2 linked regions of the Oryctolagus cuniculus genome follow. The protein of the gene in region 1 purifies or fractionates together with the protein of each later gene. This does not show direct contact. Links are inferred from orthologs where the notes say so. Each region holds a gene or a part of one and is shown in the gene's direction. Other genes may lie near its edges.

Region 1 (3,716 bases):
GGGAGGGTGTCCGGTAGGTTGAAGTCTCTCCTCCAGGGACTCCCTCCCCACTTCCCCCATGTGCCCACAGGCAGAACTCTGCCCCACTCGTGCCAAAGCCAGCCCTTCCACAGGACTTGGCCCTTGTACCAGCAAAACCCTCGCTCCCTACATCCGTTTCACCGGGGAGAGGGGGCGGGGCGGCGCGAGCTGGCCGACTCTGCAGATCGAGTGCTCAGGGCCCGACTTCAGGCAGCCTCGCTCGGCGTGGACGCCGCGCGCGCGAGCCCGGCGTTGAGAGGGGGAGCGGGCGGTGCGTCCTTTAAAAGAAGGAACACCTCTCTGGCCCTCCTCGGCGGCGAGGGGACGGCTTTGAGAGTCTTCTGATTTTAAAAGAGGAAGCAATACTGTGCCTGCGATACCAAACGCCCAGATTCGAGCGTGGCAGTTAGGAATCCCGCGCGGTTTTCTAACGCAGGGGCTGGGGGCGGGGCAGGGTATACTGGGAGGGGAGGAAACGCGGGAGAACAGCTCTCGCTCGGGGACCCGCGTGGCACCCACGGTGGGGAGGGGACAGGTGGGAAGGGGCCCGAGGCGCCCCCCTCCCACCGCCCGCTTCCGGCTCCGGGACGAGCCCCGCCGTGGGGCGACTTCAGGGGTGTCACGTTCCCGTGGCGTTCAAGCGAATGGCGCCTCCTCAGAGACACGTGAGCGGCGCCCCCTGCAATGGAAAGCCGCGGCGCTCCCGCGGGAGGAGTCAAGGACAGAGTCTGGGGGGCCTCTTCCGCCAGCCCCAGAGGAAGAAAGAGGAGGAGCGAGCGTAAGGTCCGAGGGTAGGGCAGCCTCTGACTCAGGACAGCTGCGGAGGAAGGGTGGCAGCGAGGGTCGGGCGGCACTGGAGCCGATGGAGCCCTCGGCGGACAGGCTGGCCACGGCCGCGGCGCGGGGCCGGGTGGAGGAGGTGCGGGCGCTGCTCGAGGCCGGAGTGCCGCCCGACGCTCCTAACCGCTATGGTCGGTCGGCGATCCAGGTAGGTGCGCGGATGGGCGGCCGGAGAAGCGGACAGCCGGGGGCTCTGGAGTGCGAGGTTTGCAGGGCTGCACTACCGGGGAGCGCTTCGATGCATCCGTCTTGGGGAGTTTTCCCGTGGAGCAAGGAATCAAAAACTTTCTCCTGGCGACCCCAGTGGGGTGGCGGGTCGGGAAGCCACCGAAGCAAAGAGCAGGCACGTGCGCTGTGGAGTTCTAGACTGCTGGGACGATCTGGCAAGGGGGAGCGATTTTATAAGATCTAACTCTATCAGGTGCAAAATTCACGAACGTTGGGGATGAAACGCGAGTTTCAAAGCCATGTATTTTTAATAATGATTTGCTGGGACTTCTCAGCCCCAAACTCAAAGGCCCCTGAATGGTGTTTATCCTCTTTCTCAATAAAGGGGGATTTCGGTGGAAATCGGATAAAATACCGATTGGAATTATTCAAAAGTAAATATATACGCTACTTATTTTAACTCTGACTGAGGTAATCTGTACTTACTATAAGAACTTGGGAAATGAAGACAAATATGGAGAGAAGCATTACTGTGATCTCGCTTGAGATAATGTATAGTTACCCTTTGGGGATATCTCCTATTATTCAGGGTATTTTTTGGTTTTTATGGCTTAACTTATTTGGGATTGTTGAGCAGTGTCATTTCTCCCCCTCTGCCCTCTGGTTTGGGCCGTACGTAGATTGTTTTGCTCTTTTGTCTACACCAACTTCCTAAATTTCAGTCTAAAACCAAATTCTTACTGGCAGTCACCACCCTAGTTTTATCCCTGGTGGTCAAAATGAGTTCTGATTCATAAAGAAAGAAAACTTTTATGAAACGAATGCGTGTTGCAAAAACTCCAGCACAACAAAGACAAAGGAAAGTAATTCTACATGGAATTTCACAAATGAGTTCTCCTTTCCTGAAATTATGCTACATAGGATAACTTTTATATATTTAAAATATAGATATAAAAATAAAACCAGAAATCTTTAAAACTTGAGATCATTTGGGATCTGAAGTATGGAGACATTTTGAAACTGAAAAGTTGGGTGGTTATTTAAGAATGTATGCATAATAATGTGTGCACCACTCATAATATCACATCTCTAAAATTTTGCCAGCAGCATGGAAACAATTTGGCTTTGTAGTTTTAGAAGAGACCTTATTTGATTAAATAAAAAAGGCAAATTTGGTTGGATGATTCTGAGTTTCTTAATAGGGAGGAGAAAGGGAAGATAATTTCGTTTAGAACCCTAACCAAATTTATGTTTAACACAGAAATACTTAGTTTATAGAAAAAATAAAGAAATAAATTCAAGTAAATTTCTTATTAAATTTATTTAATCACCCTCCAAATATTCATTTAATTAATTCATTCTTTTTGCTTTTAATTGCTACTATGGTTTGAATATTTAAATGTGTGCCACTTTTCAATTTTTTTTCATGCAACAAAACATTAAAAAAAGGTTTAAGACCAGCTTCATGACCAAAATGAAGGACTTTATAATATACCCAAACAGTGCAGTGCACTGTTTTTTCTTTCTTTCTGTTACTGTAATTTAGTTCACTTACATTTTCTTCTGGTCATTTTGAAAACTAAATCAGTTTCACTTTCTTCAAGGCAGGATTCAACAGCTACAGTATAATTTATTATGTCTCCTTGATTTACACGAATTAAGTAATTCATGTTTAATGGACAGAACATGACTAGAAATAAGTAATTCCTCTTTACACAGTCACTATCTTTGGGTTAATATAACCAAACAGTGGTTATCCTGAAAGAATTCTCTCTCTCCCACCTCTCCATTCAACAGTCAAATTGTAAAGCTGCTGTGATTTTGGACACCATTGTAAAATTACTCTTTGGGAATGGCTTTGTTTCAAAGATGATTTAGGAATCAGAGGTGAGCATTTTCCATTTAATAAACTCTCCAATCATAAGCTTAGAAGTGTTTTTCCTCTCTTCCTCTCTGTCCCATATTGAACTGCAGTTGGAAGAGCTGAGTCCAGTCTCAAAATGGAGGACTGTGATGTGCAGGAAACAGAGCATTTGAGGAAACTGTGGATGGGTGGGTGTCCTGATCTTTTTGAAACTACAGTTGATAGTTGGAGAAAACACTTTAAGAATAGGGGCACACTCACAGACTGTAAAGAGAGACCCTGAAACGAAACATTCCAGGGGCTTTGGTTTTGTGGCTTTCTCTTGTGTTGACGAGGTGGATGAAGCAGTGTGTGCTTGATCACACAAGGTTGCTGTACATGGAGTGGAACCAAAGAGAGCTGCTTCTAGAGAGGATTTGGTAAAGCCTGGTGTTCATTTAAGAGTGAGGGAGATTTTTGTGGGTGGTATTAATGAAGGTACAGAAGAATCTAATTTGAGGAATGTGCCAAGATTGAAACCGTAGACGTTTTGGAAGACAGGCAGAGTTGGGGAGGGGAGTGGAGAGGAATTGCTTTTTGTATCTCTTGAATGTCATGATAAGGCTGATAAAAATTGTTGCTCAGAAATAGCACACTATTAATGGGCATAGTTGTGAAGTGAAAATGGCCTCTTTTAAACAAGAGGTGCAGTCTGCCGCTGGATCACCAAGTGGCTGTGGACATGAATCTGACAACTTTATGGGTTGGGGAAGAACCTTTGGAGGTGGTGGAGATAATTTTGGCCATGGTGAGACTTTGTTGGAGGACGAGACTATGGTTGTGG
Region 2 (3,740 bases), on another chromosome or scaffold:
CTCCCCTCCCCGTACGAGCGGGATCCCGGCTCCAGGCGCACCGCACGGCTGGATTCGCCCCCGGTTCCCCCGCGCAGCCAAGCATCCGGCTGCCCACCTGCTGTGCAGGTGCGAGGTCCCGCGGGGGAGCCGCGCGAGGGCCACCCGGGCAGGTAAAGGCGCCGCAGTCCTGTAGGTGCGGAGGCAGACGGACCCCTGCCCCCGGGGCGTTCCGAGAGCGCCCGCCCGGCCGCCCAGGGGCCGGGGAGGAGCCCCCGCAGGCGACTTTGGGCGGGCAGCGCTCGCGGGCAGAGGCCGGAGGCGGGAGCGGCGCAGGTGCGCGAGGCCCTGTCTGGAGACGGAAGTGAGGCAGCCGAGGCCCAGGCGGGAGCGCGCGGCAGGTGCGTCCCGCATCCGGGCGGGGCGCGGCTCTGGGGCAGGGACAGCGCTGCCCGCGGTCACCAGGCGGTGGGCAGCGAAGGGCGTCCAAGGGCGGCCACGGGGAGGAGGGCCCGGCCTCCGCTCCCCCCGGGACACAGCCTCTCTGCGCGCTCCTCCCTGGGCGGGAGTGCGAGGCGGGGTGGGCCCGCGGTCGCCGGCTGTCCTGGGACGCACACTCCCCCCCCCCCCGAGGGTGGGCCCAGACCCCGGCTCCGCCCCCGGCACGGGGTCGGGACGCACCTGTTCTCGGGAGTTCTGGGTTTTGCTCAGGTGTGGATTTCTGACCAGCCCCCCAGCCCGGATTTGTGGGTGATCTGTGGAGGGCTGCCCCCCAAGGCGGGGCCGGGGCCCTCACCCCCCCCCCCCAGCCTCAGTGTGTCCTTTGAACCTGGCCCATCTGAGGTGGGTTCCCTGCCCCAGGTGTCCCCGTGTGGAGGACCGCGGATCCGGGACCCCTGAGCTGACCCCCTCCCACCTGCAGACCTGGGCCCCCCAGCTCCCCCTCCCCACAGACCTGGGCCCTACCCCCCCCACCTGCAGACCTAGGCCCTGCCCCCCACCCCTGCCCATTGGGACCCCAGGGCCGCGGTCCAGCGGCTTCTCCACGGCCACACAGCCCAGCGCAGACCGCGGGGAAGCTGGGACCGGGACCTAGGGGCGCGGGGAATGAGGGGCGTCTCTGCCCCCTCGGGGGTCTCCGCCGCTGCCGCCAGGCCTGTCAGCCACGTTCCGTGTCCCGGCAAACCAGAGCTGCGAAGGCTGCGGACGGCGGAGCCTGGAGGAGGGCGTGAATGAGTGCCTTCCAGGCCCTCTGCGGCCGACCCCATCGCCTGGCCCCGGGCGCCCACCGCGCCGACGGCTCGGACGGCGCCCTAGCCCCAGGGGCGACCCCGCCGTGCCCGCGCGGGACGGCGCGGACCCGCGAACCGCGCGCTCGCGCTCGTGGGACGAGACCGCGCGCGGGAATCCCGGCGCGCCCCTCCCCCAGGCGGGACGGCCCCGGGCTAGGGAGCGTCGGCGCTTCTCCTCCCGTCGGTCTGGCGAGCGTCCGGCCTTCCGTACGGCGTCAGCTGATTGGGCGGATCTGGACGATGCCCCGCCCAGGCCCCTGCATTGGCCAATTGCAGGGGGTTTCACAGGACGCCAGACTCAGGGGATTGTCGCCGTCCTGCGCCGTTTCGGGCATCCGTAGGCCTCAGTGGTCTTTGCCCCCCGGCCCCGGGCCCCGGCCCCAAGGAGACCTCCGGAACCTACGCGCTGAGACGCGCCCGCCGGGCATCCGGGGAGCCCTTGAGGAACGCGGCGCGCCCCTTCCCCGGCTGCTCGCCGGCGTATCCTCGAGTGCGCCCGCCCGCCCCGAAGGAGAGTTTGCAGACGCTCCCTCACTTCGAGGACGCGGCTCCTTTAAGAGCACAGGTGTCCAGGGCGCCGCCTGACTGGAAAGTCGCCCCCGGGCCGGGCTCCCCGACGGGACGCGGGACGCGGGCGCGCGGCGGCGGGGCGCGGGCGGCGAGGAGCGCGCGGGGCCGCGGGCGGCGCGCGGCGCGGCGCGGCGGCGGCGGCGCGCGGCGCAGGCGTGCGGCGGGCAGCCCCGGGCCAGGCCCCGCCCCGCCGCCCCGCCCGCGCCGGGGTCCTCGGCGCTCGGGGCTGCGCGCGGAGCGGGCTCCGGAGGGAAGTCCCGAGACAAAGGGAAGCGCCGCCGCCGCCGCTCGGCCCCCGCTCGTCCGTGACGCTCGCCGGGCCGCGGCCGCCCGAGGTGAGCGGGGCCGGGCGGGGGGCCTCGCGGGCTCGGGCCGGGCCGTCGGCGGCCCGCGCGGGGCGCGAGGCGGGCGCCGCGGCCTTCCGGGCGGCGCGCGGCCTCGGGGTCACGGCGGCCGCCCGGGCCGCGCCTTCCTCGGGCCGCGGGGCTCGCGGGGCCGCCCGGGAGGGCGCCGGGAGCGGCCGGTTGCGGACCAGCGGGCGCGCGGGGGGCTCCGCCGCCGCCGAGGGAAGTTTTCCTGCGCGGCCGAGAGCGCCCCGCTCGCCACGGGCGGCGGGCGGCTCCGTGCCGGCCAAGGTGAGGCCGTGGCCGCGGCCCCCAGCCCCCTGCCCCGCCGCGGGGGTCGCGCGTCTTCGGGGCCCGGAGCGCGCCCGGCCCTCCGTCCGCCTCCCGGGGCCTGTGTGGGCCGCCTGCCCCGCGCGGCGCCCCGGCCCTCTCCCGCAAGGCCGCTGGCCAAGCCCGCCGCTGTGCCTTTGTCTGGCGGGGCGCGGGGGTCCCGGGACGGGGGTCGGGCGCAGCCGAGGGAGGCGTGGGGTGCATGCCCCAGAGGGCCCGTCCGCGGGTGCGGGAGGGCCGAGAAGGGCCACGGAGGCGGCCGGTGCGGGCCGCGGCAGCCCACCTGTCCAGCGCGGCTGCGTGCTGAGACTGAGGCCGGGCGCCCGGCGCCGAGCAGGTGCGCACCTGTGGCTCGGCCCGGACGGGCAGCGCCGCCCGCCGCGGGGGTCTCTGTGGGCGGAGCTCTTTCGGGCCCAGCACGGGCAGGGGTGCAGTTCTGATGCGCTGGCTCGGGAGGGCGGGTTGCAGCGGGGAGGGTGTGAGAGGCGCACAGGAGCCTTGGGGACCGACGTCGGGCTCCCCGCGGCCCCCAGGCCCCTGCCGGCCCCTGCCCCGTGCTGTGCTGCCTGCTTCCGGGGACCCCAGGGCGCCCGGGGCTGGCTCGCGCGCTGCCCGTGCAGGTGGAGGCTGTGGTGAGCCACAGGCAGGTGTGCTGGGACCGGGCCGCCACGCCTGTTCCCGGAAGGGGCCCGGGCTGGGGCGCCAGGTGCGGGAAGGCGTGGCAGCCTGGCGGCGGCTTCGCCTCTTTAAAGGTTTATTTATTGTCAAGGCAGAGTTAGAGGTCGCGCAGCCGCTGGTTGGCTCGCCCAGACGGCCCCGTCGGCTGGGGCTGGGCCGTGTGGAAGCCGGGAGCCTCTTCTGGTCTCCCACGCGGGTGCAGGGGCCCAAGGCCCTGGGCGTCCCCCCGCAGGGAGCCGGCTGGGAAGTGGAGCAGCCGTGGGCTCAGCCTGCAGCCGTGCGCGGTGTGCGACGGCCGGAGGCGCCGGCACTCAGGAGCCCGAGGACCGTGGTCCTCGTCCGATCGTCTGTGGAGGTCTGGCTCTCCTGGGCTCTCGCCTGCTGGGTTCTGGGATGCCGCCCGCCCCGGGCAGAGCCTCCCCCTCTAACCAGTGCCAGGTGAGCCGTGGAGTGGCTCTGTAGCCAGGGACTTGGAGGGCGACACCCGTGGGTTCCGAGGACGGGGCAGACAGCAGCTGGTGGAGTCCAGGCGCGGCGGCCTGGGCCC

The links.
Region 2: the proteins of cyclin-dependent kinase inhibitor 2A (region 1) and UBE2I purify together in Homo sapiens (affinity purification with western blotting; 3 studies listed by BioGRID). This does not show direct contact. The link is inferred for Oryctolagus cuniculus from reciprocal best matches to the Homo sapiens genes CDKN2A and UBE2I.

What each region holds. Positions count from the first base shown.
Region 1 is NC_091432.1:185,038,010-185,041,725, reverse strand, and holds the start of cyclin-dependent kinase inhibitor 2A, read left to right. Parts: upstream 1-825; 5' UTR 826-883; coding exon 884-1,009; intron 1,010-3,716. UniProt on the Homo sapiens protein: Acts as a negative regulator of the proliferation of normal cells by interacting strongly with CDK4 and CDK6. This inhibits their ability to interact with cyclins D and to phosphorylate the retinoblastoma protein.
Region 2 is NC_091450.1:33,712,954-33,716,693, reverse strand, and holds the start of UBE2I (SUMO-conjugating enzyme UBC9), read left to right. Parts: upstream 1-1,570; 5' UTR 1,571-1,836; intron 1,837-2,019; exon of another isoform or gene 2,020-2,176; intron 2,177-2,323; exon of another isoform or gene 2,324-2,476; intron 2,477-3,740. UniProt on the Homo sapiens protein: Accepts the ubiquitin-like proteins SUMO1, SUMO2, SUMO3, SUMO4 and SUMO1P1/SUMO5 from the UBLE1A-UBLE1B E1 complex and catalyzes their covalent attachment to other proteins with the help of an E3 ligase such as RANBP2, CBX4 and ZNF451.